4 linked regions of the Anolis sagrei genome follow. The protein of the gene in region 1 binds, or shares a complex with, the protein of each later gene. Links are inferred from orthologs where the notes say so. Each region holds a gene or a part of one and is shown on either strand. Other genes may lie near its edges. The genes, in order: ROPN1L, DYDC1, DNAJB13 and NME5.

Region 1 (7,336 bases):
CGAACCCATGCGTTCACTTCGTTCATCTGAAGAGGCCCTGCTCATGATCCTTCCTGTGTCGCAAGCGCGTTTGGTGGGGACACGAGACAGGGCCTTTTCCATGGTGGCCCCCCGACTCTGGAACACCCCCCCCCCCAAAGATCTTAGACAGGCCCCTACATTGGCAGTCTTCAGAAAGAACTTGAAGACCTGGCTGTTCCGATGCGCCTTCCCAGAATAGGAAATCTCCAATACCAAGTCCCAGAAGCACTTTATTAGAACTAAGATTGTCGCACACTGCACACTGCACTTACTCTATAATCCTTATATACCACCTGTCACATCAGCACTTTTAATTTCTGTACCCATTACTCTGGCCCGGCACAGTTTTTATTGTGTTTTGGTGTATTGTTGATTGTTTGTTGTTTAATATTGCTTTGTTTTTAATTTGCTTTAGGTTTGTATTGTTATGTTGTGTATTGAGGCCTTGGCCTTTGTAAGCCGCATCGAGTCCTTCGGGAGATGCTAGCGGGGTACAAATAAAGTTATTATTATTATTATTATTATTATTATTATTATTATTATTTATTTCACAGTTTTAGATCAGTGTTTCTCAGTGTCCGTACCTTGGGAGGGCTGACTTGGCCACGGTCGTACAGTACACGGTAGTACAGTGTTAGATCAGTGTTTCTCAGTGTCCGTACCTTGGGAGGGCTGACTTGGCCACGGTAGTACACGCTTTGGTTACATCCCGCTTAGACTACTGCAACGCTCTCTACTTGGGGTTGCCTTTGAAGACTGCCCGGAAGCTGCAGCAAGTCCAACGCGCGGCAGCCAGATTACTAACGGGGGCTGGGTACAGGGAGCACACCACTCCGCTGTTACGCCAGCTCCACTGGCTGCCAATTAGCTTCCGAGCACAATTCAAAGTGCTGGTGTTGACCTATAAAGCCCTAAATGACTCCGGCCCTGTTTACCTCTCCGAACGTATTCTCCCCTATGAACCATCAAGATTATTAAGATCATCTGGAGAGGCCCTGCTCTCGGTCCCACCGGCCTCGCAAGCCGCCTGGTGGGGACGAGGGACAGGGCCTTCTCGGTGGTGGCCCCGCAACTCTGGAACTCCCTCCCTCTGGAGGCCAGAACCGCCCCATCCATCCTAACATTTAGGAAACGGGTGAAGACGTGGCTGTGGAGTCAGGCCTTCAATGAATGAGACAACACCATAGGACCCTGGATGGAAGTTTATGTAGATCCATCTTAATAGGACGACTGACCATTGTAGTTTTATATATAGTGTTTTTAAAGTTGTTTTTGTAATTGTGATATATGATATTTTAATGAGTGTATATGTTTTTTATGGCTGGAAACCGGGCTGAGTCCCTCAATGAGGTTGAGAAGCTTGGTATAGAAAACTGTGAAATAAATAAATAAATAAATAAATAATAATAATAATAATAATTTATTGTTGTATTGTGGGCTCGGCCTCATGTAAGCCACACCAAGTCCCTTGGGGAGATGGTAGCGGGGTACAAATAAAGTTTAATAATAATAATAATAATAATAATAATAATAATAATCTCTATATACAGTGTAGATCAGGCCTCCTCAACCTCCAGAATTTTGGGCCTCCAACTCCCAGAATTCCTGAGCGTTGGGCAAGCTGGCTGGGGCTTCTGGGAATTGGAGGTCCGAAGGTTGAAAATGCCTGGTGTAGACGCAGCTCTTGTAGGCCTCAGCCCTCGCTCTCTCTGCAGTTACTCACAGCGTCGTTCAATGGGGAGCAGAGTAGGTGGAGGGCCAAGGGGAGCTACCTCAGGGACAATATATACCACCTGTCACATCAGCACTTTTAATTTCTGTACCCATTACTCTGGCCCGGCCCAGTTTTTATTGTGTTTTGGTGTATTGTTGATTGTTGTTTAATATTGCTTTGTTTCTAATTTGCTTTAGGTTTGTATGGTTATGTTGTCTATTGAGGCCTTGGCCTTTGTAAGCCGCATCGAGGCCTTCGGGAGGTGCTAGTGAGGTACAAATAATAATAATAATTTATTGTTGTATTATGGGCTCGGCCTCATGTAAGCCACACTGAGTCCCTTGCGGAGATGGTAAAAAGGTAAAGGTAGTCCCCTGACACTAAGTCCAGTCATGTCTGACTCTGGGGTGTGGTGCTCATCTCCATTTCTAAGCTGAAGAGCCAGCGTTGTCCGTAGACACCTCCAAGGTCATGTGGCCGGCATGACTGCATGGAGCGCCGTTACCTTCCCGCCAGAGCGGTACCTATTGATCTACTCACATTTGCATGTTTTCAAACTGCTAGGTTGGCAGAAGCTAGGGCTGACAGCGGAAGCTCACGCCGCTCCCCGGAATCGAACCTGCGACCTTTAGATCAACAAGCTCAGCAGCTCAGTGCTTTAACCCACTGCACCCCCGGGGAGATGGTAGCGGGGTACAAATAAAGTTTAATAATAATAATAATAATAATTTCTATATACAGTGATCAGGCCTCCTCGACCTCCAGAATTTTGGGCTTCCAACTCCCAGAATTCCTGAGCGTTGGGCGAGTTGGCTGGGGCTTCTGGGAATTGGAGGTCCAAAGGTTGAAAATGCCTGGTGTAGACGCAGCTCTGGTAGGCCTCAGCCCTCGCTCTCTCTGCAGTTACTCACAGCGTCGTTCATTGGGGAGCAGAGAAGGTGGAGGGCCAAGGGGAGCTACCTCAGGGACAATATATATAAACACGCCATGTACCATATATACAAATACAAACACATCAGGCAAAATCTAATCAAACATATCGGGCACATCAGTCACATCTCCCTCTCTCTTTCTCAAACGAAGGCCACGGCCTCACCTCTCTCTCTCTCTCTCTCGGGCACGCACAGGGACGCGGCGGTTGGGTTTCTATGGCAACGTTTGTGCCTTACCGTCTCCTAGCAACCACGAGATTCGCAGCCTAGACGGGGATTGGTCGCCGCTTGGGCCTTACGTCATCGCTAGCCTCCGGACTCCATTATGACAGGCTCCTCTCCATTCCGGAATCCATTCCGGAAGTGCCTCTGAGGACAGGAAGTGGCTGTGGTTCCACCAGCGCCATCTTCTTAAAGGGAAAGCTCTTTCCCATGAAGACATACATTTCCAAGTATGTATTTTGTTGAGTTGCTTTGTATCACAAAGCCTCCTTCATGGCTTAATGGATCTGGACCAAATCTAGCACACATATCCTTCGTTATGTAATCTGTATCTATATATAAATGCACTGTGCATAATGAGTGTCTTAAAACAAAAGAACCAATGAACGAAATCACACCAAATTTGGCAACAAATCTTCTCACAACACAAGGAGTGACTATTACTCAAAAAATTATGATTTTGTCATTTGGGAGTTGTAGTTGCTGGGATTTATAGTTCACCTACAATCAAAGAGCATTCTGAACTTCACCAATGATGGAATTGGGCCAAACTTAGCACACAGGGCTCCCATGACCAACAGAAAAAACTGGAAGGGTTTGGTGGACATGGACCTTGAGTTTGGGAGTTGTAGTTCGCCTACATCCAGACAACACTGTGGATTCAAACAATGATGGATCTGGACCAAACTTGGCACAAATATTCCATATGCCCAAATATGAACACAGATGGAGTTTACGGGAAATAGACCTTGACATTTGGAAGTTGTAGTTGCTGGGATTTATAGTTCATCTACAATCAAAGAACATTCTGAACTCCACCAATGATGGAATTGAACCAAACATGGTATACAGGACTTCCATGACCAACAGAACACACTGGAAGGGTTTGGTGGGCATTGACCTTGAGTTTGGGAGTTGTAGTTCACCTCCAGAGAGCACTGTGGACTCAAACAATGATGGTTCTGGACCAAACTTGGCACAAATATTCCATATGCCCAAATATGAACACAGATGGAGTTTGGAGGAAATAGACCTTGACATTTGGGATTTGTAGTTACTGGGATTTATAGTTCACTACAATTAAAGAGCATTCTGAAACCCACAAACGACAGAAATGGGGCAGACTTCCCACACAGAACTCCCATGACCAACAGAAAATACTTAAGGTCATCCTGTCCAACTCTGTTCACCAGGGCAAAAAAAAATTAATCAGAGCCCTCCTGACAAAGAGCCATCCAGTCATAAATATAGATAGATAAATATGATTCTCTCTCTCACACACAGATATAGTATCATAGATTTGAAAGAGACCCTTAAAGAAGGACTATGATATGTTGCATATTCCAGAGTAGGCAAACCAGACACTCTCCACATCAACACTGACAAAGAAGCAACAAGAAATACTGTTTACTCACAAGCATAAAGGAATTACATATATTAAAAACCAACACTTTCTCATTACTTTATTTTCCAGATCACCTGACTGGGCCATAGCAACGCGTGGCAGGGGACAGCTAGTCTATATAAATAAAAGTGTAATGTTCGTTTGTGGGATCAACAGAACTCAAAAACCACTGAACGAATTGCTGCCAAATTTGGACACATTACACCTATAAGGCCAAGAAGTGACCATCAACCATAAAACACTGGGGGGGGGGGGGGGGGAGGGACAGTGGAAGAGACTTAAAAAGCCAAAAAACAAAAAATTACATTACAACTCATGCACAAAACCACATATATACACAAATATATACAGAAATATATACAAACATATATGCACACACAAAACACATATACAAAGAAAGGGGGAAGGAAGGGGGAAAGAAGGAGGGAAGGAGAGAATGAAAGAAATGTAGAGAAGGAAATAAAAAAGTGAAAAGGAAGAAGGAACGAAAGGAAGGGGAAGGAAGCAAAGAAAGAGACAAGGAAGGATGGAACCGATGAGCAAAGGAAGCAAGGAAAGAAACAGGTAGAGAAGGAAGAAAGAAGAAGGGAAATAAAAAGAAGAAAGGAGGAGAGATAGAGGCAGGTTGGCCACAGCAACACATTTCGGATACAGCTAGTTTAAAATAAGTGAAGGATTTGAACTAAACGTACCATCCCTTTGGGCCCAGAGGGAAAGAAAAGGAGCATAACGGATTGGCTGTGGCTAGGTGAAGTGGCCCTCTGAGCTGTGCATGGGAAAGGAAGTGAAACTGAGTGAAGTGGGTATGGAAGGAGGGAGGGAGGAAAGAAAAAGTAGGGACAGGAAGGAAAGGAGGAGGGGGAGAAATTAAAAGGGGAGATGGAAAAGAAAGGAAGGGAAGGGAGAGAAATGAAAAGTTATGAGGGGAGGGAGAAGAAGAGGAAGAAGAGGAGGGGGAAGACGTATAAGGCAAAGATTGGGTAATTGGGCTATGATAGCGACTTCTTGAATTTGCTATCTTTCACTGAGATCTCTAGAGGCTGCTAGAAAGGAATTATGACCAATTGTGCTTGGCCAATAAATCCTGTTCACCTATTAATAATAATAATAATAATAATAGGTTGTTGTAGGTTTTTTCGGGCTATATGGCCATGTTCTAGAGGCATTTTCTCCTGACATTTCACCAGTATAATAATAATAATTTTATTTTTATACCCCGCCAACCATCTCCCCTAGGGGACTCAGGGCTGCTTATAAGGGACACGCCCAATATTACAATTAAAACACACTTTAACCAATTAAAAAATCAGAGAAAACAAATAATAACACAACTGAAAGCAATATAAAAATATAGCTGTAAGAAACATAGCTGAGGTACAGATTCAATGAGTGCAATACATTTTTACAGGAGCGCAGGAAAGTGCAACAATACAGTAAACTGGGCAGGAAATACTGTCAACATGGCAATCCCATTCATACAGGGAAACCCAGCCTTTTACATTGCAGCACTCACTAACCCCTCTTACAGGAGAGCGTACATGCTGGCTAGATTTAATATTATGCCATCTCCGCTCCATAGAGGAAGACTCAACGGTCTACCAAGCAATAAGAGGCTTTGTCCCTGTAGCACAAGACAGCTGGATTCTATCCCGGATATTCTTCTGTACTGCCCACTTTACCAGGAACCAAGATCTAGCTTACCAACACACGTTATAGATTCCTTGAAAAACCAGTGTGACCCAAAGTAATTATGCTTTTAAATTGTCAAGATTTTAACTGCTGCCTTTCAGTGGCAAGATTCCTGAACGAAGTCTGTAAAATGAATGTGTAGCAAATGTGAAGTTCCCTTTTCTATGGTTGATACTGTATTTTATACTTTTGCTATATATATACCAATAAAGGCTTATTGGATTAGATTGGATCTTGGAGGCAAAGAAAGGGAAGAAAGAAGAGAGGGAGGTATATGAGGGAAAAGGAGGAAGAAAAGAATGAGCTAAAGAGCATTGCCATGGAGACATTGTGGGGTAAGCCTTCTCAGAGCTGGAGAAGGAAGAGAGTAGGTGGGCTATGGCCTCTCCAACACTATTATAAAGCCAGCTCTCCTTATTCACAGAGTCTGCGTCCACTGATTCAACCAAGCATGGCTTGAAAATATTCCCAAACAATCCAAAAGCAAACTGGGGTTTTGTTATACCGCATAAGGGATGCTCTTTTATTCTGCCACTGTATTTATTGGTACTTGGAAAAAACAAAATTTTTGATATCCAAGACGGGATCTTGGAACCAAATCCCAGCAGATATTGAGAGTACATGGTATTCTCACATCCTCACCCATTATTGAAAGCACTTTTAAAAAAAAAATGCCTGCTTGTATATCAATTATTGATGTCAAAGCTATCCGGACAACCACAATCAAGACGTCCTTTTATTTAAGATTTCAACTATTCCCTGTACTTAAAAAAACTGAGTTGGTTGTTAGTGGTTCAAGAAACAAGTTGGCATGGAGCATTATAGTGTTACAGTTTTAATAGTAAAACATTTGGTTATTTGGTTCTGCGTTACAAAAATAATTTCCCTGCAAATTAGGAGCTACAAATGAAAGTGGCAATCTTGAAAAACAGGCAAAAATAAGAAAGCATGTAAATTAAATTTTATTGGTACTGAACATTGTATTGTGATGGGAAGCCTATTAAAGAGGAGACTATATACTATATACAGCACTTTTGGACAAGGGGAGCCATGGCACAGATACTTTAATCAGAAGCAGAATTTTTTAAAAAAAACTCAAAAAATGTCACTGCAATATATTAAAATTTGGGTAAAGTTACTGAAGAATGTGATACAAAGCATAACATTTCCCTCCCTGCACATAACACTACCCTGATATACATAGGAGAGACATTTCCAAACTTTGCGCGGATATGCAAAACCACGATTTTCCATTGGCAGAATCATATGCATTCTGTGATTTCATTGCAAACCCGAAAATTCAGTAATTTGAATTGAATTAAGTATTCTGAGAATCTCAGGGGACCTTGTCAC
Region 2 (7,058 bases), on another chromosome or scaffold:
TCTCAACCTGTGGGTCCCCAGATGTTTTGGCCTTCAACTCTCAGAAATCCTAAAAGCTAGTAAACTGGCTGGGATTTCTGGGAGCTGTAGGCCAAAGCACCTGGGGACCCACAGGTTGAGAACAGGTGAAAAAATACAAAATTTTGTGTATTCTGAGCAGTATCGTGTTGCTCTATGGAAATTCCCATTGAACAACAAGTCGCATGGCATTTGGATGCCTATTGTATATACAATGGGAAGCATGACTTGACACCCATGCTTTTGGATCCATTTGCACAATGGTTCTGGAGGGGGAACTCTGCCCTTGCTGGATTCTTGTGAATATGAGCATTGCCCAACATTGAAGACCATTGCATGTGATCATAATTCATCTCTGTTGCTGTTGTGTGCCTGACTTATGGTGACTTCAAGGCAAACCTATCATGATATAAATTGTTCAGAGAGCCTTCCCAGTCAGTTGTAAGCATGAATTTTATACTTGTGTCTTGTGTTTAATCTCTGTTATGTGCATTTTAATAAGTATTTTACAGAAATATGTTTTAAATATGTATCTATGTAATTTGTCAGTTTTTCATAAACAAACAGATATTAGGAAACACAAGGGGGGGGGGTGCCCACACAAAAACTTAAGAATTAAAACTCACCCAATACTTTTTTGTTTGAATGCTGTAATTTTTGTAAGTCAGTTTTATTTTCACTTCAAATGAGGTGAAGCCAAAAAAGCTGTCATTCCTATTTGAATTAAGAAATGATAGGCTGCTTCTTGCTATGAGGACAGGAAAGCAGCAGGGCAACATGAGCTGAGTGAGCTGGGAAAGAGACTAAGAGAAAACAGAATTATGGGAAATGTAGTTTGGAAAGCCGAGGAGCCCTATGGCAGAGAATTCAAAAGGTCCTGCCCTAAACTACATTTCCCAGAATTCTAGGAATCCCCACCCCAAGTCCTAGTAGCACCTTAGCATAACAAATTGTCACTGCACATCGCACTTTTAACCCTACGTGCCTCCTGCCATTCAGCACTTTTAACCCTTGTACCCCAGTGCGCCGGCCGAACCAGTTTTTAATAATGTCCTGATGTACTGCTATTGTTGTTATTTTGCATATTGTTTGATTTGTTTAGTATTGCGGTGTTATGTTATTTTGCTTACTGTTTGATTTGCCTTGTTGTTGTGATGTTATATTCTCTATTGTATTGTGTTTGAGGCTTCGGCCTGTGTAAGCCGCATCGAGTCCTCCGGGAGATGCTAGCGGGGTACAAATAAAGTTAATAATAATAATAATAATAATAAGCATCAGAAAGCCCCAAGCGGGATAGGGGAGAGATTGGTTCCTCATAGAAGTAGCCAGAGTTCCAAGAAATTGTTGAATTTGCAAAGAGGAGGACTAACTGATACAAGCAAATAAATTTCTGCTGGGCTGTAAAGAAATCCCTAAATTGAAGTTTTGTTGGTTAAAGACATTCAATGAAATAGCTGTTGTGGGGTTTTTTTAAAAAAAGTTTTTGTCATTTTTTAAAAAAAATCCAAAAAATCAGTAGATGCATGAATATTTTGGAAAGTTGGGGGGAATGATCCCCTGTTATCCTGTGCCATTGTATAGAAAATTCAAGGAGCCACCTCTTGTATTTTTTTAATTTTGTTTGTAATTTTTTTTGAAAATTTGCAAAAAAATCCATAGATGGGTGAAACATTCTGAAACTCCATGGGCTAACAGTGGTAAATATGTTCTATAATCATAGCAAGTTTCATGCCAATGAGGCAGAAAGGGGCCTCTGAAGTTTCCCTACTTGCACAATTACTATAATGAAAAAGTGACAAAATTTTGTTACTCTCATTACAGTAATTAAATTTTTACTAACGATACTTTAGAAACCCTTTAGAAATGAAACATCAACACCCCCTAATTTTGTAATGAATTTTGAAACATTTTTTCATTGATCACACAGCATATATATATGGGTGTAGGTGTGTGTGTAAGCCAAAAGCCCCATAAAAACTCACTAAACACTCTTCCATTTATAAGACAGAGAAAATAAAGGCTTGTTGCATTATCTGAACATGTGTGTATAGAATTTCTACGATATTCATGTGTTTTAATTATGCTGTAACCTGTCTCAATGGAGCCCCCGGTGATGCAGGACAGGTCACAGGTTCGAATCCGGGGAGAGGCGGATGAGCTCCCTCTATCAGCTCCAGCTCCTTATGCGGGAACATGAGAGAACATGAGAGAAGCCTCCCACAAGGATGATAAAACATCAAATCATCCGGGCATCCCCTGGGCAACATCCTTGCAGACGGCCAATTCTCTCACACCAGAAACGACTTGCAGTTTCTCAAGTCGCTCCTGACACGACAAAAAAAAAAACCTGCATCAAGCCACGAGGAGAGACAGGTAAGAAATAAAATAATAATAATAATAATAATAATTATTATTATTATTATTATTATTATTATTATTATTATTCAGGCTGAGAGAAAATGCCCAAAGTTCCCCAGTGGGTTTCTATGCCTGAGATTCAAACACTAGCCTTCCAACCTTCAGATTATAACACAACATCATACAAGATGCTACATTGGGATATTGGGATTAATTGGGCCCATGGCGATTTTACCTTACCAGAGATTGGTGTATGAAGCACCCCCCAGTCGGACTCTCTCAGCATCAATTCTAGTTCAAATGAGAAGCCACCCAACTGTCATCACTAAGAGAATCTACATATCATGATAGAAAAAAGTATTTATCAAAAGGCAAACTTACACTTGAACCCAAGGATGTACCAAACTGTAATGTCTCTTTCTTCAGTATGGCTTCATCAACTGAGGATGCTCAGAGAAGCCGTTAGACCTGGAAGCTTCTGTTTGGTATCCTAGCAACGGACCACTGCTTTATCTCTGATGATGCTACAACTCCCTCTTCTCCGTAGACAAGATGTTCCTCCTACCTTTACTTGGTTTGACTTTTAATGCTAATTGGCAAGATCAGTCTTCACAAGCGCTGGATCAAAATGTTTCTTACTGGGTAATGATAGTTTCCCAATTTACTAATCTTGGAAAGATACAAAGCAGATTAAAAAGGATGGAGATTTCGAAGTGATCAAATCAGAACGTGAGAAAGGATTGTGTGGCAATGATTATATGAGGAAGAGAGAAGAGTGTGGGTTACAATTTGAAAGAAAACCTGAAATGGGTGTATTATTTATATCTTTTTCGAGTTAAATGGTTAAATAACTATTGTTGGAAATATCTTGAAGAGTATATCATCAATGTTTCTTCCCGAGTCTTTGTCCAGTGAGCTGCTTGAGTCCCCCAAAGGGGGCATTTCAGGCAGCAAATGGATGGGCTCCCGCTGCGTGCTAGGGAAGACCTTTGTCCAACAGATTTTTGCCCTGGCCATGCCTTCTGCCAGAGTAGAGGAGAAATCCTGGAATAATTTGAGATTGCTCAAGAGGTTAAAAGAGTTCATTTTGGTTTGCCTTCTATTTAATGTATTCCATGATATCAAAATAAAGCAATAAAATAAAGACACAGGGATAGGAACTAAGGGAGGTTCCATCATAAGTTCATAGTTAGAAATAAGGGAGAAGTCAGGGTCTCTCTTGGCCCCATAGAGCAGGGGCCCTCAAACTATGGCCTGAGGGCCGCATATGGCCCTCCAAGGTCATCTAACAGGCCCTCACTCAGAGTCAACCTAAATCTGAAATGACTTGAAAGCACACAACAATAACAACAATCCTATCTCATCAGCCAAAAGCAGGTCCATACCAATAAGTTTATATTTATTTAAATTGTTTTTCATTTTAATTATTGTGTTGTTTTTATTTTATTTATTTTTTTGCACTACAGGTAAGATATGTGCAGTGTGCATAGGAATTCATTCATTTTTTTCCACAATTATAATCCGGCCCTCCAACAGTTTGAGAGACTTTGACCTGGCCCTCTGTTTAAAAAGTTTGAGGACCCCTGCCATAGAGTATAGGAGAGGTTACTCCCTTTTATTTGTTCTTTTTATTATCTCTGCACTGATGCAGAGTTTCAAAGGAAAGAATTTTCAAAGGAAAAGAAAGATACAGTGTTCCTTCACTTATTGTGGCTGTTACTTTCCAGGGTCACCCACAAAAAGTGAAAATCCACTAAGTAGGGACACTATTTATTTACTTTACTTGTATACCACAGTTTCTCAGCCTAACAGGCGACTCAACGCGGTTTACAACAAAGGTACAACAGTCAACAATATACAATTTAAAACCATAAAAGCATAATACACAATATTGACACAACAATAACAACCCAATGCATCTCATGACTAAAATCGTGATCCAGTTTCGTCGTCCATATTACCATTCCTGTAATCATCACATTCATTGCACCGATTAACCAAATGCCTGTTCGAACATCCAGGTTTTTAAGTAGCATCTCAAGCTGCCATTGCAAAAGTCCTACTCTCATTTTTGGTGTGTATTCATCCTCTGAGTATATCCTGACACCCTTTTCTTTTTAGGAAGCTTTATGCCTCTCCTGCCTTTCTTTCCATGCACTGGGTTGGTCTCGTGATGTCACGCAGGTCCAGGGGCGGCTCAACCCATTACGCAAAGTAAGCATTTGCAGTATAGTTGATTTTGCCCAGGGCACTCTTGAGGTGCTCTTGGGGGAAAATAGACCTTGACATATGCAAGTTGTAGTTACTGGAATGTATAGTTCACCTGCAATCAAAGAGCATTCTGAACTCCACCAATGATGGAATTGAACCAAATATGGCACACAGAACTCCCATGACAAACAGAAAACATATATCAGTGATTGGTTGGTGGTTGGGGGGGGGGGATACTGTTTGCTTACCGTTGAAAATACCTAGAGCCGCCTCTGCGTGGGTCCCCCCTCCTCCCTCAAGACCCACCTGCCATTCACCCCTCTAGACCTGTCCATCATCCTTCCCTTCCTTCTCCCGCTTTCAATCCGGACAGGCTCCCATCTGCAGAGGAAAGTGAGGAAGAGGGGGAGAAAGAAGAAGGCGAGAAGGAGGAGTTGGGCAAGTGGGGTGAATGCAGGAGGCGGCTTCCCAGGCTGGCATATCCCACGATGCACGTGGCAAGGAGAGACGTAGCTCCAGTGTAAATATATACATTACTGTATTTATTGAAAAACCGCGAAACAGCGAGTCCGTGAAAAGTGAAGTAGTGAGGGAACACTGTACCTAGTATAGTGTTGGAGGGGAAAATGTTGACAAAGTCCCAAAAATGGAGATACATTGTAGCATCAAAGGAATTGTGTTCTCTACTACTTCATCACACTAGAGCAGGGGCCATCAAACTTTTTAAACAGAGGGCCAGGTCACGGTCCCTCAAACTGTTGGAGGGCCAGATTATAATGTGAAAAAAATCATAAATGAATTCCTATGCACACTGCACATATCTTATTTGTAGTGCAAAAAAACACTTTAAAACAATACAATAAATAAAGAACAATTTTAACAGATATAAGCTTATTAGTATTTCAATGGGAAGTGTGGGCCTGCTTTTGGATGAAGAGATAGGATTGTTGTCACCCTACAACCTCTGAGGATGCTTGCCATAGATCAGTGGTTCTCAACCTTCCTAATGCAGCAACCCCTTAATACAGTTACTCATGTTGTGATGACCCTCAACCATAAAATTATTTTTGTTGCTACTTCAGAACTGTAATTCTGTTCCTGTTATGAATTGTAATGTAAATATCTTAAATACAGAATGTATTTCATTTACTGGACCAATTTGGCACAAATATCTGATACGCCGACATTTGAATGCTGGAGGGGTTGGGGGAGGGTTGATTTTGTCATTTAGGAGATGGGATTTATAGATGGAGATTAGAGGGAGAGAGGAAGAGAGTTGCAATTTATTAAGAAGTTTAATTTTATCATAAGCATTCAGAAACAGGAGAATTGAAGCTGGGGCTAACAGCGGGAGCTCACCTCGCTCTCCAGATTTGAACCTGTGACCCGTTAGTAAGTTTAGCAGCTCAGTGGTTTAACCCACTGAGCCACCAGGGGCTCCCAGGTATAAGTTGGAAATCATTTCAATGTGTTTAACATTTTTATTCTTAGTGTAAGTTTTCCTGTTGTGTGCAGTTTTGTGCTTGTTTTGATCTGTTTATTTAGTTGATTACTGTAATTTCTTTGAATTTAAAGGGTCGTTTAGAAAGCTCTTGACTACTGCATTTCAGAGTATTCAGCACCCATTCTATAATTATGGAAATCATCTATGTTTTTGATTTTGATTTTCTTAATATTTTGCTGTATTGAAAATCATATTCCACTGTTCAGTCCCCTACGAGCTCCTCCCCCACAAATATACCTTTTCAATTGCTATTTCATCCAGAGTTTTATCATTTTATGTCATGCAATTGGCCCACCCACTGTATTTGATTTTCCATTATGTTATTTTGTATTGTTTATTTGATTGGTTTATTTATTTTATTGTGATATTATTTTGTTGTTTATATTTTATGTTGCTGTAATGTATCGCTGGACTTGGCCTCGTGAGCCAAGCTGGATGGCCATCTGTCAGGGGTGATTTGAATGTAATATTCCTGCTTCTTGGCAGGGGGTTGGACTGGATGGCCCATGAGGTCTCTTCCAACTCTATGATTCTATGATTCTATTCTCTTTGGGGATTGCCAATATCCGCTGGATAATGGAGACAGGCAGGGAGTTTCAGAAAGATATCTATTTCTGCTTCATTGACTATTCTAAAGCCTTTGACTGTGTGGATCATAATAAATTGTGACAACTTCTTGGTGGGATGGGCATCCCAAGCCACCTTGTCTCTCTCCTGAGGAATCTGTACAAGGACCAAGTAGCAACAGTCAGAACTGACCACGGAACAACAGACTGGTTCAAGATTGGGAAAGGCGTACGGCAAGGCTGCATATTCTCACCCAACCTTTTTAACTTGTATGCAGAACACATCATGCGATGTGCGGGGCTTGATGAATACAAATCTGGGGTGAAAATTGCTGGAAGAAACATTAACAACCTCAGATATGCAGACGACACCACTCTGATGGCCGAAAGCGAGGAGGAGC
Region 3 (7,266 bases), on another chromosome or scaffold:
GATGTGGCCCAAACAGGCTGGCTAACCTACATTACCAGCTGCACATGCAAAAGACACACAGGCAAGAGGCAAAAGGAGCAGAGTAGCATAATGCTTCTCCAAACTGTATTCTAAAATCCATACAGTTATACCCCACCGGATGTGGCCCAAACAGGCTGGCTGGCCTACATTACCAGCTGCACATACAAAAGACACACAGGCAAGAGGAAAAAGGAGAAGAGTAGCATAATGCTTTTCCAAACTGTATTCTAAAATCCATACAGTTATACCCCTACCGATGTGGCCCAAACATGCTGGCTGACCTACATTACTAGCTGCACATGCAAAAGACACACAGGCAAAAGGAAAAAGGAGCAGAGTAGCATAATGCTTCTCCACACTGTATTCTAAAATCCATACAGTTATACCCCTACCGATGTGGCCCAAACATGCTGGCTGACCTACATTACTAGCTGCACATGCAAAAGACACACAGGCAAAAGGAAAAAGGAGCAGAGTAGCATAATGCTTCTCCAAACTGTATTCTAAAATCCATACAGTTGCACCCCACTGGATGTGGCTCAAACATGCTGGCTGACCTACATTATCAGCTGCACATGCAAAAGACACACAGGCAAGAGGAAAAAGGAGCAGAGTAGCATAATATAGACATTCCATCATGTGTCAAGACTTTGAAAATAGATCAGAGTTGTTGATTTTTATCATATCCTGTCTCTGTTTCTAGGGGACGGGACCTGTTTTATCATGCAGCAAGACCTCGATCATATTGTTGAACTCACTGGACCAGACTGCGACCCTGTCTATAAGGTAACCCATGTTAGATGTGCCATGATACATTATTTTATTTTTATTTTGATTTTTTTAGTACCTTTTTTAAAATAACCGTCCTATGATTTTTCCAGTTTTTCACATCAACTCTGAACTTCTAATCTTCTAAACACAAGGAAAACTTTCTACTGTGAGAGCTGGAATGGATTTCCTCGAAGTGTGGTAGACTGCACCTGTAAATGTCTTGGAATTAGATGTCCTTGATTGTTTCCTCTCTGTTGTAATTTTAGAGTTTTTTTAATAGTAATAGCCAGATTTTGTTCATTTTAATGGTTTCCTCCTTTCTGTTGAAATTGTCCACATGCTTGTGTATTTCAATTGCTTCTCTGTGTAGTCTGACATGGTGGTTGTGAGAGTGGTCTAATCACCTCTCAACAAAAGTTTGCTCGAAGCACTGTCATAGAATCATAGAATCAAAGAGTTGGAAGAGACCTCATGGGCCATCCAATCCAACCCCATTCTGCCAAGAAGCAGGAATATTGCATTCAAATCACCCCTGACAGATGGCCATCCCGCCTCTGTTTAAAAGCTTCCAAAGAAGGAGCCTCCACCACACTCCGGGGCAGAGAGTTCCACTGCTGAACGGCTCTCACAGTCAGGAAGTTCTTCCTCATGTTCAGATGGAATCTCCTCTCTTGTAGTTTGAAGCCATTGTTCCATTGCGTCCTAATCTCCAAGGAAGCAGAAAACAAGCTTGCTCCCTCCTCCGTGGCTTCCTCTCACATATTTATACATGGCTATCATATCTCCTCTCAGCCTTCTCTTCTTCAGGCTAAACATGCCCAGCTCCTTAAGCCGCTCCTCATAGGGCTTGTTCTCCATACCCTGTCAGGCCATTATATATTAATCAAGGTGGTCAGTTGAAACATTCCCACCTAGCTCCAGCAGACAAGAGTCCTTTGTCCCACCCTGGTCATTCCACAGATATATAAGCCCTTTTTCCTAGTTCCAACAGACCTCACTACCTCTGGGGATGCTTGCCATAGATGCAGGCGAAACGTCAGGAGAGAATGTCTCTAGAACATGGCCATATAGCCCAAAAAACCTACAACAACGCATGTTATAGCTTGATTGCTATCTGTCGGGAGGGCTTGGATTGAGTCTTCCTGCCTGGCAGAATAAAAGGGGTCAGACTAGATGGCCTTTGGGGGTCCCTTAGAATCATAGAATCAAAGAGTTGGAAGAGACCTCATGGGCCATCCAGTCCAACCCCATTCTGCCAAGAAGCAGGAATATTGCATTCAAATCACCCCTGACAAATGGCCATCCAGCCTCTGTTTAAAAGCTTCCAAAGAAGGAGCCTCCACCACACTCCGGGGCAGAGAGTTCCACTGCTGAACGGCTCTCCCAGTCAGGAAGTTCTTCCTCATGTTCAGATGGAATCTCCTCTCTTGTAGGATTGTCTTCCCTTTGCTCTTGTACAATTAGTTGTGGATGTGACATCTATTTTCACTGTGGTGTGACTTGACATTATTATTTCCTTAGGTGGCCACCTGGGAGAAGCAGATCTATTCCTGTTGCCGAGACGGGACCGTAAGGAGATACCAACTTTCAGAACTTTGAACAAAGATAGAAATTATTTCTGAACTCTGGGCATTTTTCCAAATGCTGGGTGTATTTTGAAATTTCCATGGTTTTGTACTGTAAATACAACTGGAGGACACATTTGTTTGGGGACCTCATGAAGACACAATGATCCTGAATCGAACGGCTAGTGATCTTCAACACGAACCACAACCCACATTTATTTGGGTTATGGTCCAGTTTGCCTTTGCAGACAATATGTTGTTGGTCTCTCCTTGTTGTTTCTAAAAGGAGAAGGTAAATCAAGGCGAGAAGATGTTTTTGGTATGTTTTGTCTACCTCTCGACTAGAAAGGAAACCAATAAAAAATTGTTTGAAAACATCATGCCCTCCTAAACAGAAGGATCCTTTTTTTCTGGTGCTCCTCAATAAATATTGTTTCAGTTGTAAATTCCCATTCAAAATAAAGCTGATTTCATCTTGAATTATTTCATTGTATTGATGGCATCAAGAAAAGTATTGACTGATTCCTTTTTTAAATGCATTCTCTTAGCAGTTCTTCATTTATCACTCCGACTATTAATGGTCGGAGTGAGCTCCCGACCATTAATAGTCTAGCTTGCTGTTGACCTATGCAGCCCAAAAGACATTTGCATCTGTCAAGTAGGAAATTTAGGTACCGTTTTATGCAGGGAGGCTAATTCAACTAATTTTTGACATTTATATTATTTTAGACAATATCATATTTTAATAATATTTTATTTATTTATATAAAATATTATGTGTTATTTATTTATCATACTTTTATATGTTTTTTACAGAACAGCATATTTTTTATTTATTTATAATTTATTTGCACTGTTTTTATACAATATGGTATTTTTTTATTTTTTTATGCCTTTAATCATATTTCTATACTATTTATTTATTTTTAATATATTTATCTGTTTGGTTTTCATATAATATTTATTGATTTATAATACATTTATTTACATTGTTTTTATACAATTTAATATTTATTTATACTATATTTCTTTGTATTCTTTTATACAATATTTATTTATAATACATTTATTAGCATTGTTTTTATATAATTTAATATTTATACTATATTTCTTTTCTATTATTTTATACAATATTTATTTATAATACATTTATTTGCATTGTTTTTATACAATTTAATAATTATTTATACTATATTTTTGTATTATTTTTATACAATATTTTTTTATTTGTAATACATTTATTTGCATTTTTATACAGTTTACTATTTATACTATATTTCTTTGTATTATTTTATACAATATTCATTTATAATACATTTATTTGCATTGTTTTTATACAATTTAATATTTATACTATATTTCTTTGTATTATTTTTATACAATATTCATTTATAATACATTCATTTGCATTGTTTTTGTACAATTTAATATTTATTTACACTATATTTCTTTGTATTATTTTTATAAAATATTTCTTTATTTATAATATATTTACTTTCATTATTTTTATGCAATAGGATATAATGTTTATTTATTTATTAGATATTTATTTGAATTATTTTCATATAATATTTTATTCAATTGGCAAGGTCCATTCAGAAAAGATGAGGCCCCGCCCCCGTTTGCCGTAACCATAGCAACGGCAGGCAATGAGTCGGAGGCCCCGCCCCTTTAGCCTAGACATAGCAAGGAGCTTGAGGCCACGCCCCTTCAAGCCTCGACCAATAGTAATGGCAAGATCCATTCAGAAAAGGTTAGCCCTTCCACTGGGTGAGGCCCCGCCCCCTTTTCCCGTAACCATAGCAACGCCAGGCAAGGATCCGGAGGCTCCCCCCCCTTTAGCAGAGGCATGGCAAGGAGCTTGAGGCCACGCCCCTTCAAGCCTCGACCAATAGGAACGAGAGGCAGCCCCGTCATGCTTTGCGGCGGCCTGGGCTGAGGAAAGCGGCCTCCCGTTGCTAAGGCCGCGCGTCCCTAGCAACGGGAGGCCTGAGGCAGGCGGAGTAGGCCCGAGGCGGGAGAAGGAGGCGGCGGAGGAGGAGGAGGCCGGCCGCGATGGGGCAGGACTACTACGCCATCCTGGAGCTCACCCGCAGCGCCACCGACGCCCAGATCAAGAAGGCGTGAGGGCCTCTCTCTCTATGAAGGCGGGGTGGGACTGCAGCTCCCAGCATCCCCGGCCTGAGGGGAGGAGGAATGATGGTGGAGGTGGTGGTGGTGGCAGCACTCTCACTTTGGGGCCTCCTTTAAATACATCAGCTCATTAGATAGGATATTATTAGAATTCCAGTTTCTCAAGTTGCTCCTGACACGACTGACTAACTAAATAATAATAATAAAAATAATAAAATAAAATAAAATAAAATAAATAATAGTAATCACCCCAAATAAAAGCCTTATATGACCATCATCAGAATACACTATATTATGATGATGGTGAGGGACGAGGGACAGGGCCTTCTCGGTGGTGGCCCCCCAACTCTAGACAGCATAGTGTCTAGATCCAGGGAAGTAATGCTCCCCATGCTCTATTCCGCTTTGGTTAGACCACACCTGGAATATTGTGTCCAATTCTGGGCACCACAATTGAAGAGAGATATTGACAAGCTGGAATGTGTCCAGAGGAGGGCGACTAAAATGATCAAGGGTCTGGAGAACAAGCCCTATGAGGAGCGGCTTAAGGAGCTGGGCATGTTTAGCCTGAAGAAGAGAAGGCTGAGAGGAGATATGATAGCCATGTATAAATATGTGAGAGGAAGCCACAGGAAGGAGGGAGCAAGCTTGTTTTCTGCTTCCTTGGAGACTAGGACGCAATGGAACAATGGCTTCAAACTACAAGAAAGGAGATTCCATCTGAACATTAGGAAGAACTTCCTGACTGTGAGAGCCATTCAGCAGTGGAACTCTCTGCCCCGGAGTGTGGTGGAGGCTCCTTCTTTGGAAGCTTTTACACAGAGGCTGGATGGCCATCTGTCGGGTGATTTGAATGCAATATTCCTGCTTCTTGGCAGAATGGGGTTGGACTGGATGGCCCATGAGGTCTCTTCCAACTCTTTGATTCTATGATTCTATGATTAGATAGGATATTATTAATATTGCAGTTTCTCAAGTTGCTCCTGACATGCCAAAATAAATAAATAAATAAATAAATAAATAAAAATAAAATTAATAATAGTAATCACCCCAGATAAAAAGCATTATATGACCACCATCATAATACACTGTGTGTGTGTGTGTGTGTGTGTGTAATTACCCCAGGTAAAAGCATTATATGATAATCATATATATATATATATATATATATATACACACACATATATAATGATTATCATATAATGCTTTTATATATATATAGATATCGATAGATAGATTATCATATAATGCTATTATATATATAATAGTATTAGATAATAATAATCCCCCCAGGGGTGAGGAAAGTGGTATATAAATACTGTAAATAAAATAAAAATAAATAAATCCTCAATATCATCATATAATATATAATAGTAATAATCACCCTAGATAAAAGCATTATATGATTATCATCATCATCATATAATATTATATATATATGTATACATATGTATATATGTTTAATAATAATAGTAATCACACCAGATAAAAGTATTATATAATAATAATCCTCATTATCGTCATATAATATAATATATAATAGTAACAATCACCCCAGACAAAAGCATCATACTTACTTCTACTTAGGCGATCCCTCGTTGGACGAGTAAGATGGTCTTCCGTGATGTGTTTCCTTGTGGATTCGTAGGTGGCTGTGGAGCCCTATTCTTGACCCGCATCTTCTCCCACAGTGAAGGCATTGGTTTCCAGGTGGAAGGCGGTCCCGGTCGGGGTTGGCTTGACGCGCCTTCCTCCTGGCACATTTCTCTGTTTCACCCTCCACTCGTGCCTCCTCGAATTCTGCAGCACTGCTGGTCACAGCTGACCTCCAGCTGGAGCGTTCAAGGGCCAGGGCTCCCCAGTTCTTGGTGTCTATGCCAGAGTTTTAGAGGTTGGCTTTGAGCCCATCTTTAAATCTCTTTTCCTGTCCACCAGCGTTCCGTTTTCCATTCTTAAGTTCAGAGTAGAGCAACTGCTTTGGGAGACGGTGGTCAGGCATCCGGACAACGTGGCCGGCCCAGCAGAGTTGATGGCAGAGGACCATCGCTTCAATGCTGGTGGTCTTTGCTTCTTCCAGCACACTGACGTTTGTCCGCTTGTCCGATATATAATGCTATTATATATTTAATAGTATTAGATAATAATAATCCCCCCAGGGGTGAGAAAGGCAGTATATAAATAATGTAAATAAATAAATAAAATCCTCATTATCATCATATAATATATAATAGTAATAATCACCCCAGATAAAAGCATCATATTATTATTATTATTATTATTATTATTATCATCTGCTGGAAGAAACATTAACAACCTCAGATATGCAGATGACACCACTCTAATGGCCAAAAGCGAGGAGGAGCTGAGGAGCCTTCTAATCAAGGTGAAAGAAAAAAGCGCAAAAGCTGGGTTGCAGCTAAACATCAAAAGAAGACAATTATGCTGGGGAAAGTGGAAGGTAAAAGGAAGAGGGGCCGACCAAGGGCAAGATGGATGGATGGTATCCTTGAAGTGACTGGACTGACCTTGAAGGAGCTGGGGGTGGTGACGGCCGACAGGGAGCTCTGGCTGTGGGCTGGTCCATGAGGTCACGAAGAGTTGGAGACGACTGAATGAATGAACAACAACAAAGTAACAATCACCCCAGATAAAAGTATATGATTATCATCATCATATAATATTATATATGTGTATAATGATAGTAGTATTGTTACATATTATTATTATTATGTTTAATAATAATAGTAGTAATCATACCAGATGAATATTATATATA
Region 4 (7,585 bases), on another chromosome or scaffold:
TATGAAAATGAATAACTACTGTTTGGGTTTCCCTTTTCCCCTCCTCCTTCCATCTCCTTTCTTCTTGTAGCTTTTCTTTTATGCTGCTAGCCTTGAGCAGGGACAGTATTTCCTAAAATGCCACTCTGGTAGCCTTTTTGGGAAAAGAGAAAAATTGTCAACCAAATTGTTTCATTCAGATATAAATCCCACTAATTTAAACGTGATAACAATCTTTTAGTATCCCTTGCCTATGAAAACCCTATGAAATTCATGGAGTCTACATGTCACTTGAAGTCATAATCATGTTTACAGTCACATAACCCTCCCAGGGTCATCTAGACACACCCTATATCCCAGGATCTGATCCCAGGTTTTCTGCTTTAAATATGAGTCTGCACTGCCAGATAATCTGAGATAAACAGAAAACCTGGAATCAGATCCTGGGATATAGAGCCTAAAGAAGTATTTTTTTGAGATGGCTGTTGCTCTGATAATTCTGGCTTTAAGAGTTGGATAATAGGTAGAAACTGGCAGATGCTCCCTGCTATTGTCTAGAAAAAAGGTTGCCCGTTGACTTCTGCCTTTTTTTACTCATGGTTTTTACTCAGCAAGCTCTATTTCTCAAAGTATTATTATTATTATTATTATTAATTCATTTTTATTCCGCTTTTGTCCCATGAGTGGAATTTAAAGTGGCATATAATGATTTATAAAACAGAAATAAACACAATACATATTCAACTAAAACATCATAAATCAATTAAAGCAAATAACCCAATTGGCCTACACCATATATAAGAAATAAATAACTTACAACAAATACCATTTTAAAAAATCCCCAATCTCAGGCCACTGAGTTTATTTGTGAAAAAGGTTACACAAGATCCTAAGAAACTCCACACAACTAGCACACTAAAGCTGGCTCTCCATATAAACAGATTCTGCATCCATACATTCGACTATCCATGGCTTGAACATACCCCCCCCCCTCCGCAAACATAAATTACAAAAGGCAGATGTAGAGAAATGTTTATTATAGAGTGTTTAATGTACTGTGTTTAAACTGTATTTAGGGTTTACATTAGTTGCTATGGCCTAACTGTAAGAGATAGGTTGCCATGGTAACAAGGCCTCAGAGGAGGTGGGCGGAGTTTAAGGAATAAAAGGTTTGAAAGCGACAGTTAATAGTCAGTCCGGTGGATGAGACCCGGGGAAGAGGATCAGAGTCAGTTAGGGCTCTGGGTTGTGAAGCTGTGAGAATTCAGTTAGTTCTTAGGATTTGTGAATATTTCTTCAGCAAGAGAGCTGAAAGTGTTACCTTGTTAGATTGCTTAGGTTAAAAGAATCTAACAGAAGGGGTTTTAAGGATTGCCAGTAAGGAAAGTGGTTTGATCCGAGTATAGGACAAACAGTGTGGAATATTCACAATAGGGAACTCTGAAGTAATAAAAGCACTTCACTAAAGAAGGAGTTTATAGAATTGTAACATCAGAAGCTTGAATGTATCTCAAACCAGCCATTTTGTAACATCAAGCCTTGTGCCAAGTTCAAATTCTCAAAACTGCAACAATTACGTTCTGTTAACAATAAAACTTGTTCTCTTTATATTTCAAACCTGTCTCCTCCATTGCTTTATGCTTGGTGCATTCCACACTACCAACGTCACCTCACAACACAACTAAAGATAAACAGAGACATAAACCAGCGTCTCTAGACATATTGCTGGCAGCTTAATTGATATCTAAAAGAAGGTTCCTTACAAATATTGTTGGCATCAGGGAAAATTTGGACTTCCTCACATTCAGTGGAAATAGTACTTCTTTACATAATTTGGTGCCAGCAGCTGGGAGGCTTCGTTACAGCAGACCTTGATTTTGCCATTTTATATACAGGATATAAGATCTAACCAGTCCATACTCTGGGAAATAATGCCCAGCTGCTCACTGGAGGGAAGGATATTAGAGGCAAAGAAGAAGTACTTTGGCCACATCATGAGAAGACAGGAAAGCTTGGAGAAGACAATGATGCTGGGGGAAATGGAAGGAAAAAGGAAGAAGGGCCGACCAAGGGCCAGATGGATGGTTGGTACCCTTGAAGTGACTGGCTTGACCTTGAAGGAGCTGGGGGTGGTGACGGCCGACAGGGAGCTCTGGCGTGGGCTGGTCCATGAGGTCACAAAGAGTTGGAAGTGACTGAATGAATAAACAACAACAACAAATATAAGGGACTCTATGTCACCATGTCATTGTGTACAGTGGGACGAGCATCCACGGATGCTGGTATCTACTGAGAGTTACTGGAACCAAAGTCCAGCTGACGAGGAGACCCACTGTAAGTGATGATGGAGCAAGGACTACTGGTATTCCACTTTACCTGCTATGGCGCCACCTTGAGGCATCCTAAGGCTTGTTGTTTAGTGAGGCCCAAGGTCCCTTCCTCCCTCCCTCCCTAAAGTGTACATTTTGGGATTTCAAAGGATGTTACCATGGCAGTTAAAGTGGGATAATAGTGAAATGTAACAGGGCTCCCAGTTAACATTAGATACATCTCCACTTTACACTTAACGTAGTTTGACGCCCCTTTAACGGCCATGGCTCGATGTTAAGGAATCCCGGAAGATGTAGATTGGTGGAGGTACCAGCAGAAGGCTCAAGACCTTGTAGAACTACAACTCCCAGGATTCCACAGCACTGAGCCAAGGCAGTTGAAGTGGTGTCAGACTGCATTAATCCTAGAGTGTGGATGCACCCACAGTGTATCTTGAATTAAAATCCCCCGAAGTAAACGTTTACCTCACTCCCTGGCCCCTTGAAACCCCTCTGCCGCCCTTCCCGGGATCATTGTCATTTCTTCCGTTGCCCTTTGCAGTTGCCAAAGAGAAAACCCTTCCGCGCTTCCACCTGGGGCCTGATGAACAGAGGAATTGGCCCCGCATACCTGCTAAATTAGACCTCTCGCCCCAGATGCGGTTGCCAGGCAACCAAAGAAACTGCAGCCCAAGCCAGCGGCTACGGCAGCCGGCGAGGGTCCATTTTGAAATGCGCGGTCGCTCTTTTGTCATTCAGTATGCATTCTACGAGCTTCGAGGCTTGATGGTCGGGAGCAGATAGCAACCTCCCTTCCCTATAACTCATGCAGTTAGGTCCTGATATGTTTAGGAGTATATTATAGGCACCAGCATAGCCCTCTTGTTCCATCCATGTATTCAGCCTCATTAATTTCACAGGGTTTCTTAGGTAAGTAATGCCCACAGGTGGTTTTGCCAGTTCCTTCATTTACAACAACATCCAAGTACTAGCCAGGGCCAACCCTGCTTAGCACCCAAGATTAGATGGGATCTGGTGCCTTTAGTTTAGGGGTTGCCTATGGGGTGTTTGAGTTGTAAGTTTTTCAGGCTGTATGGCCATATTCTAGAAGCATTCTCGCCTGCATCTATGGCAGGCATTCTCAGGTTGTGAGGTCACAACCTCTGTGTGGGGTGTTTTTTCTATTTGTGGTTATATCCACATGGAGACAAGTATGAATTTTGTAAGGCATACGCACAACTTTCTATTGAAACTTAACCATACCCTGAACAAGTTTGTAGTCCTCATCAAGGACTAAGAGCCCTTCCACACAGCCCTATATCCCAGAATGTCAAGGCAGAAAATCCCACAATATCTGCTTTGAACTGGATTATCTGAATCCTCACTGCCATATATTCCAGTTCAAAGCAGAAAATGTGAGATTTTATTCAGCTGTGTGGAAGGGGTCTTAGTCTGGCAGATGAGTTAGTTGGCAGGGAAAAGTTAGTTGGGCAAGTCACACTCTCTCAGCCTCAAAGGAAAGCAATGGCAAACCTTTGTTGAACAAATCTTGTCAAGAAAATCCCACGACAGGATCACCATAAGTCAGAACAACAACAAAGATTGGAGTTCTACAGTCATGAAGGCAACCTATGGACTCCTGAGATGTAGTTTGGTGACACACTAGAGCTCTCTAGCAGAGAAATCTCAACAACCCTCCATAAACTATGCCCCAGACAGACATTATAGTTAACGTGGATTTATCACACCGTAGTGTGAACAGGCCTGCCCATACACGTTAGTCTTGGGAGAACCAAGTTTCATGAAGTGCAAAAGAATCCATTTCCAGGCAATTAGATATAGGATTCCCGTCTTCTCCTATGGGACAATACAGTAATTCTTGGCATCCCCTCATCCTACCTAAGGAATTGCTAGTGTTTTGTTAACTCTTACAAAGGTGTGAAGGGACTGAGAGACTAAAAACAAAATCTTAAAGTTTAAACAGAGGCTGGATGGCCATTTGTCAGGGGTGATTTGAATGCAATATTCCTGCTTCTTGGCAGAATGGGGTTGGACTGGATGGCCCATGAGGTCTCTTCCAACTCTTTGATTCTATAAGTTGGGATTTAGGTCTTTTAAAACTACTGCAGCCACATTGTTTTCATAGATTATTTATAACAAGTTGAATGAGCAGGTTGAGCATTCATTATCTGGAATTTTGAAATGCAAAATCATTCAGTGGATTCCTGAGAAAACAACATCTTTGTTTCATAAAATTGTTAAAAAAATATTGTGTATAAATTTATCTTCAGGCTATGTGTATAAAATATGGAGACATTATTAATTAATTTCATATTTTGGCTTGTATCCCATCTCCTGGATAACTTGTTCTGTATGTATATGCAAAATCAGTTATTTAAAAAAACTAAAATACTTCTGGTTCTTAGCATTTCAGATAAGTGTTATTTAACCAGTGTTTAAATGTATCAAATTAATGCCAGAAGAATATTTTTAAAACCCAAATAAGTAATAGCACATTAGGGAAAATAGTTTAAAGTAGACATCTTTTTGAAATTTTATTTTTCAGTGTTCTACAGTGTTTCCCATTTTAATAGATAATATACCAACATGTCTTCACCTGCAGCCAGTGATGCCATTAGACAGTTTTGGCTCTGAGTGGGTGGGGATCTGTTGAGAAAGAAACATGTGTTATGGGACACCGTGGAGACACTGTCAGCATATTTCTGAGTGAGATTAGTTTTCTGGTTATTGCATTCTGTCTGATCTATTCTGTTCTGTTCTAGCAGTGGCCAAGAGACTATCCTGACCCTGGCAAGCCTATAAACACATACCTACCATCAGTGAAAACTGTGGCAGGAACAGGTAAGGAACTTCGGAGTGTGGTCAAGGTGAGAGGAATTACTAATAAAGAAGCACAGACAATCTAGAGCCCCTTCTACACTATCATATAATCCAGATTATCAAAGCATATAATCCATGTTATCTGCTTTGAACTGGATTATATGAGTCTACACTGCCATATAATCCAATTCAAAGCAGATAATCTGGATTTTATCTGACTGTGTAGAAGGGCCATCAGAATATAGTAGAAATTATTTTTATTACTTCCAGTTGATAACTTCTAATAAATTAGTGATATGAAACATGAAAAGAAAAACATAATAAAAAAGGAAATGATTGATTACCCTCTTGTAGCTGCAGAAACATCTGAGCAATGAATCGACCATTTTAAAAGACTTCTCCTACCGCACCATCAAGAATAAGAAACAATTAAGTGTATGGGACATCCAAACAAAACAGTGCATTTTTTTTTTTTTGCTGAATGGAATTTCTAAATTATTATTACAGGATGGTTTTGGGTTTGGCAATGGATATGGGTGAATAATAAGGTATTATATTAAGTTTTGTGTGGAATTCTTGTTTCTACTCCACTTCTGCCTTTTTACAGTGCTGTTGTAAAACAGTTCTGTTCGAGCAAAGTAAGAATAAAAATAGCTTAGTACAAATAGTGTATAGTACTGCAGCTTATGTTTTTCTTCAAATGACTATTCAGAATAAATTATTAATCATGGCTTTGTGTTGATGCTCACTGAATCTTTTCTTTATGTGTCTTCTTTGTTGGATTTGCCCAGAAATGAAATTGCTTACCTGCAATTTAAAAATGGAGCAGGAATACAGAAAACAAACCTATTAGTGGCTCTATGACAGATAGGTAATTTATACATAAAATATAATCACCATGTATGCATTGTATGAAGAAAAGCATTTGACAGAAAATAGCTATGGAAACCTAGGAGTTGTGATTTGGTGAGGCACCGGCAGTCTTTGGATGAGAAGGCTCAAGACCTTGTAGAACTACAACATTATTCCATTGCATTGAGCCATGGCAGTAAAAGTAGTGTCAAACTGAGATCGAGCGTGGTCAAATTATTAATAAAGTATAGTTGGAGCCATGACAGAGTCACGGAGAACGGAAGCTCAGAGCCTCACCGGGATCCAGTATGCAAACCATCTGAGAAGCAATTGGAGAACCAAGTAGCACCAATTGTCCTGGATGCTTCCCCCCCCCCCCCCCCCATTACAAACTAACACTTCAATAAGTATACACTATGGTGTATTATTCTCTTATTTGATTATTTGTATCTCTTTTTGCCTCCTATGTCCTTTTCTCCCCTCTTCGTCCCTTGAAGCAGGCCCCGGTAACCGCTTGGCCCCCATAGCCCCCACAGCCCTCAAAGCGGGGCTCCCATCCTTCTTTCCCTTTTCACCCCAGCTATCCCCTTTACCAACCCTCGTCCCCATGGGTACCTCGGTTCCCGGTGACATGAGCTCCCAGTATCCCCGGACCCCTTTGCTGTATATGCTTATAATATTTTATATTTTATAAAACTATTTGAAGATAAAGCCACCACACTGAGGCTCAGGTAACCTTTTGCCTGACCTGGAAGTCACCTCCAGCGCTTTCTCGTCATCACAACAATAGGATTCAAGCACCCATCATCACTGGAATCAATCCATCTACATTGATTCCCGACTGTACAGAGGATGTCTGGATCCATAAGATGGGGTTTTTTTGTGCAGTCACCTAGACACAAAGAGAATGTTCATCACCCAACACTCCTTCAGGACACCAGGAGGTCCTGCCTCGGTCATCCACAATGCCATCTACCCTTTCCCAGGAACTGACTGCATAATCCACTCATCTTGGACAATATCTGGTCTGGAATTCAATGGACACTAGCACTGGAGGCATTAGACACGGTAATCCTCTCAAGACACTATGCATTGTTTTGTCCTACTGGTCATCCTGCCCCGCCAGTCATTGGAGAGTCAGAATCTGCATTGGAAGTGGGGAACACTCTTTGATTTGCTGGTGGGCGCCACAGTCTCACCTCGCAGAGGGAATCCTCCCAACTGGCTGTGACGTCAAGGCCGGTTCTGCCAATCAGTGTGAAGCGGGAAAAACAAAAGACTGAACAGTATGAAAATGTGTTTTGCTTGTACCAAACATGTTGGCTTCCTTTTGCGATTCACGGTGACCTGTCACCCTTTCCAGCTGGATTGAATAAAATACCTCAGTGACTTTCTTCTTCACAGGAATGGCCAGCCTCCAACTGTGGACCTTTCCACACAGCCCTATATCCCAGAATATCAAGGCAGAAAAACCCCACATTGGGTTGTTGTAGGTTTTTTTGGGCTATATGGCCATGTTCTAGAGGCATTCTCTCCTGATGTTTCCCTTGCATCTATGGTAAGCATCCTCAGAGGTAGTGAGGTCTGTTGGAACTAGGAAAAAG

Evidence for each region.
Region 2: ROPN1L (region 1) and DYDC1 share a complex: the UniProt entries of both Homo sapiens proteins name them as parts of the axonemal radial spoke complex. The link is inferred for Anolis sagrei from reciprocal best matches to the Homo sapiens genes ROPN1L and DYDC1.
Region 3: ROPN1L (region 1) and DNAJB13 share a complex: the UniProt entries of both Homo sapiens proteins name them as parts of the axonemal radial spoke complex. The link is inferred for Anolis sagrei from reciprocal best matches to the Homo sapiens genes ROPN1L and DNAJB13.
Region 4: ROPN1L (region 1) and NME5 share a complex: the UniProt entries of both Homo sapiens proteins name them as parts of the axonemal radial spoke complex. The link is inferred for Anolis sagrei from reciprocal best matches to the Homo sapiens genes ROPN1L and NME5.

The regions. Positions count from the first base shown.
Region 1 is NC_090024.1:104,141,245-104,148,580, forward strand, and holds the start of ROPN1L (ropporin-1-like protein), read right to left. Parts: upstream 3,019-7,336; 5' UTR 2,832-3,018; intron 1-2,831. UniProt on the Homo sapiens protein: Functions as part of axonemal radial spoke complexes that play an important part in the motility of sperm and cilia. Important for male fertility.
Region 2 is NC_090023.1:155,234,790-155,241,847, forward strand, and holds the start of DYDC1 (DPY30 domain-containing protein 1), read right to left. Parts: upstream 3,013-7,058; 5' UTR 2,758-3,012; intron 1-2,757. UniProt on the Homo sapiens protein: Functions as part of axonemal radial spoke complexes that play an important part in the motility of sperm and cilia. Plays a crucial role during acrosome biogenesis.
Region 3 is NC_090023.1:5,702,358-5,709,623, reverse strand, and holds the start of DNAJB13 (dnaJ homolog subfamily B member 13), read left to right. Parts: upstream 1-4,264; 5' UTR 4,265-4,412; coding exon 4,413-4,480; exon of another isoform or gene 4,481-4,498; coding exon of another isoform or gene 4,499-4,509; intron 4,510-7,266. Other genes in the region: PAAF1 (proteasomal ATPase-associated factor 1), read left to right, coding at 725-807, 2,314-2,391. UniProt on the Homo sapiens protein: Functions as part of axonemal radial spoke complexes that play an important part in the motility of sperm and cilia.
Region 4 is NC_090022.1:88,384,461-88,392,045, reverse strand, and holds the start of NME5 (nucleoside diphosphate kinase homolog 5), read right to left. Parts: upstream 3,026-7,585; 5' UTR 2,920-3,025; exon of another isoform or gene 2,775-2,919; intron 1-2,774. UniProt on the Homo sapiens protein: Functions as part of axonemal radial spoke complexes that play an important part in the motility of sperm and cilia. Does not seem to have nucleoside diphosphate kinase (NDPK) activity.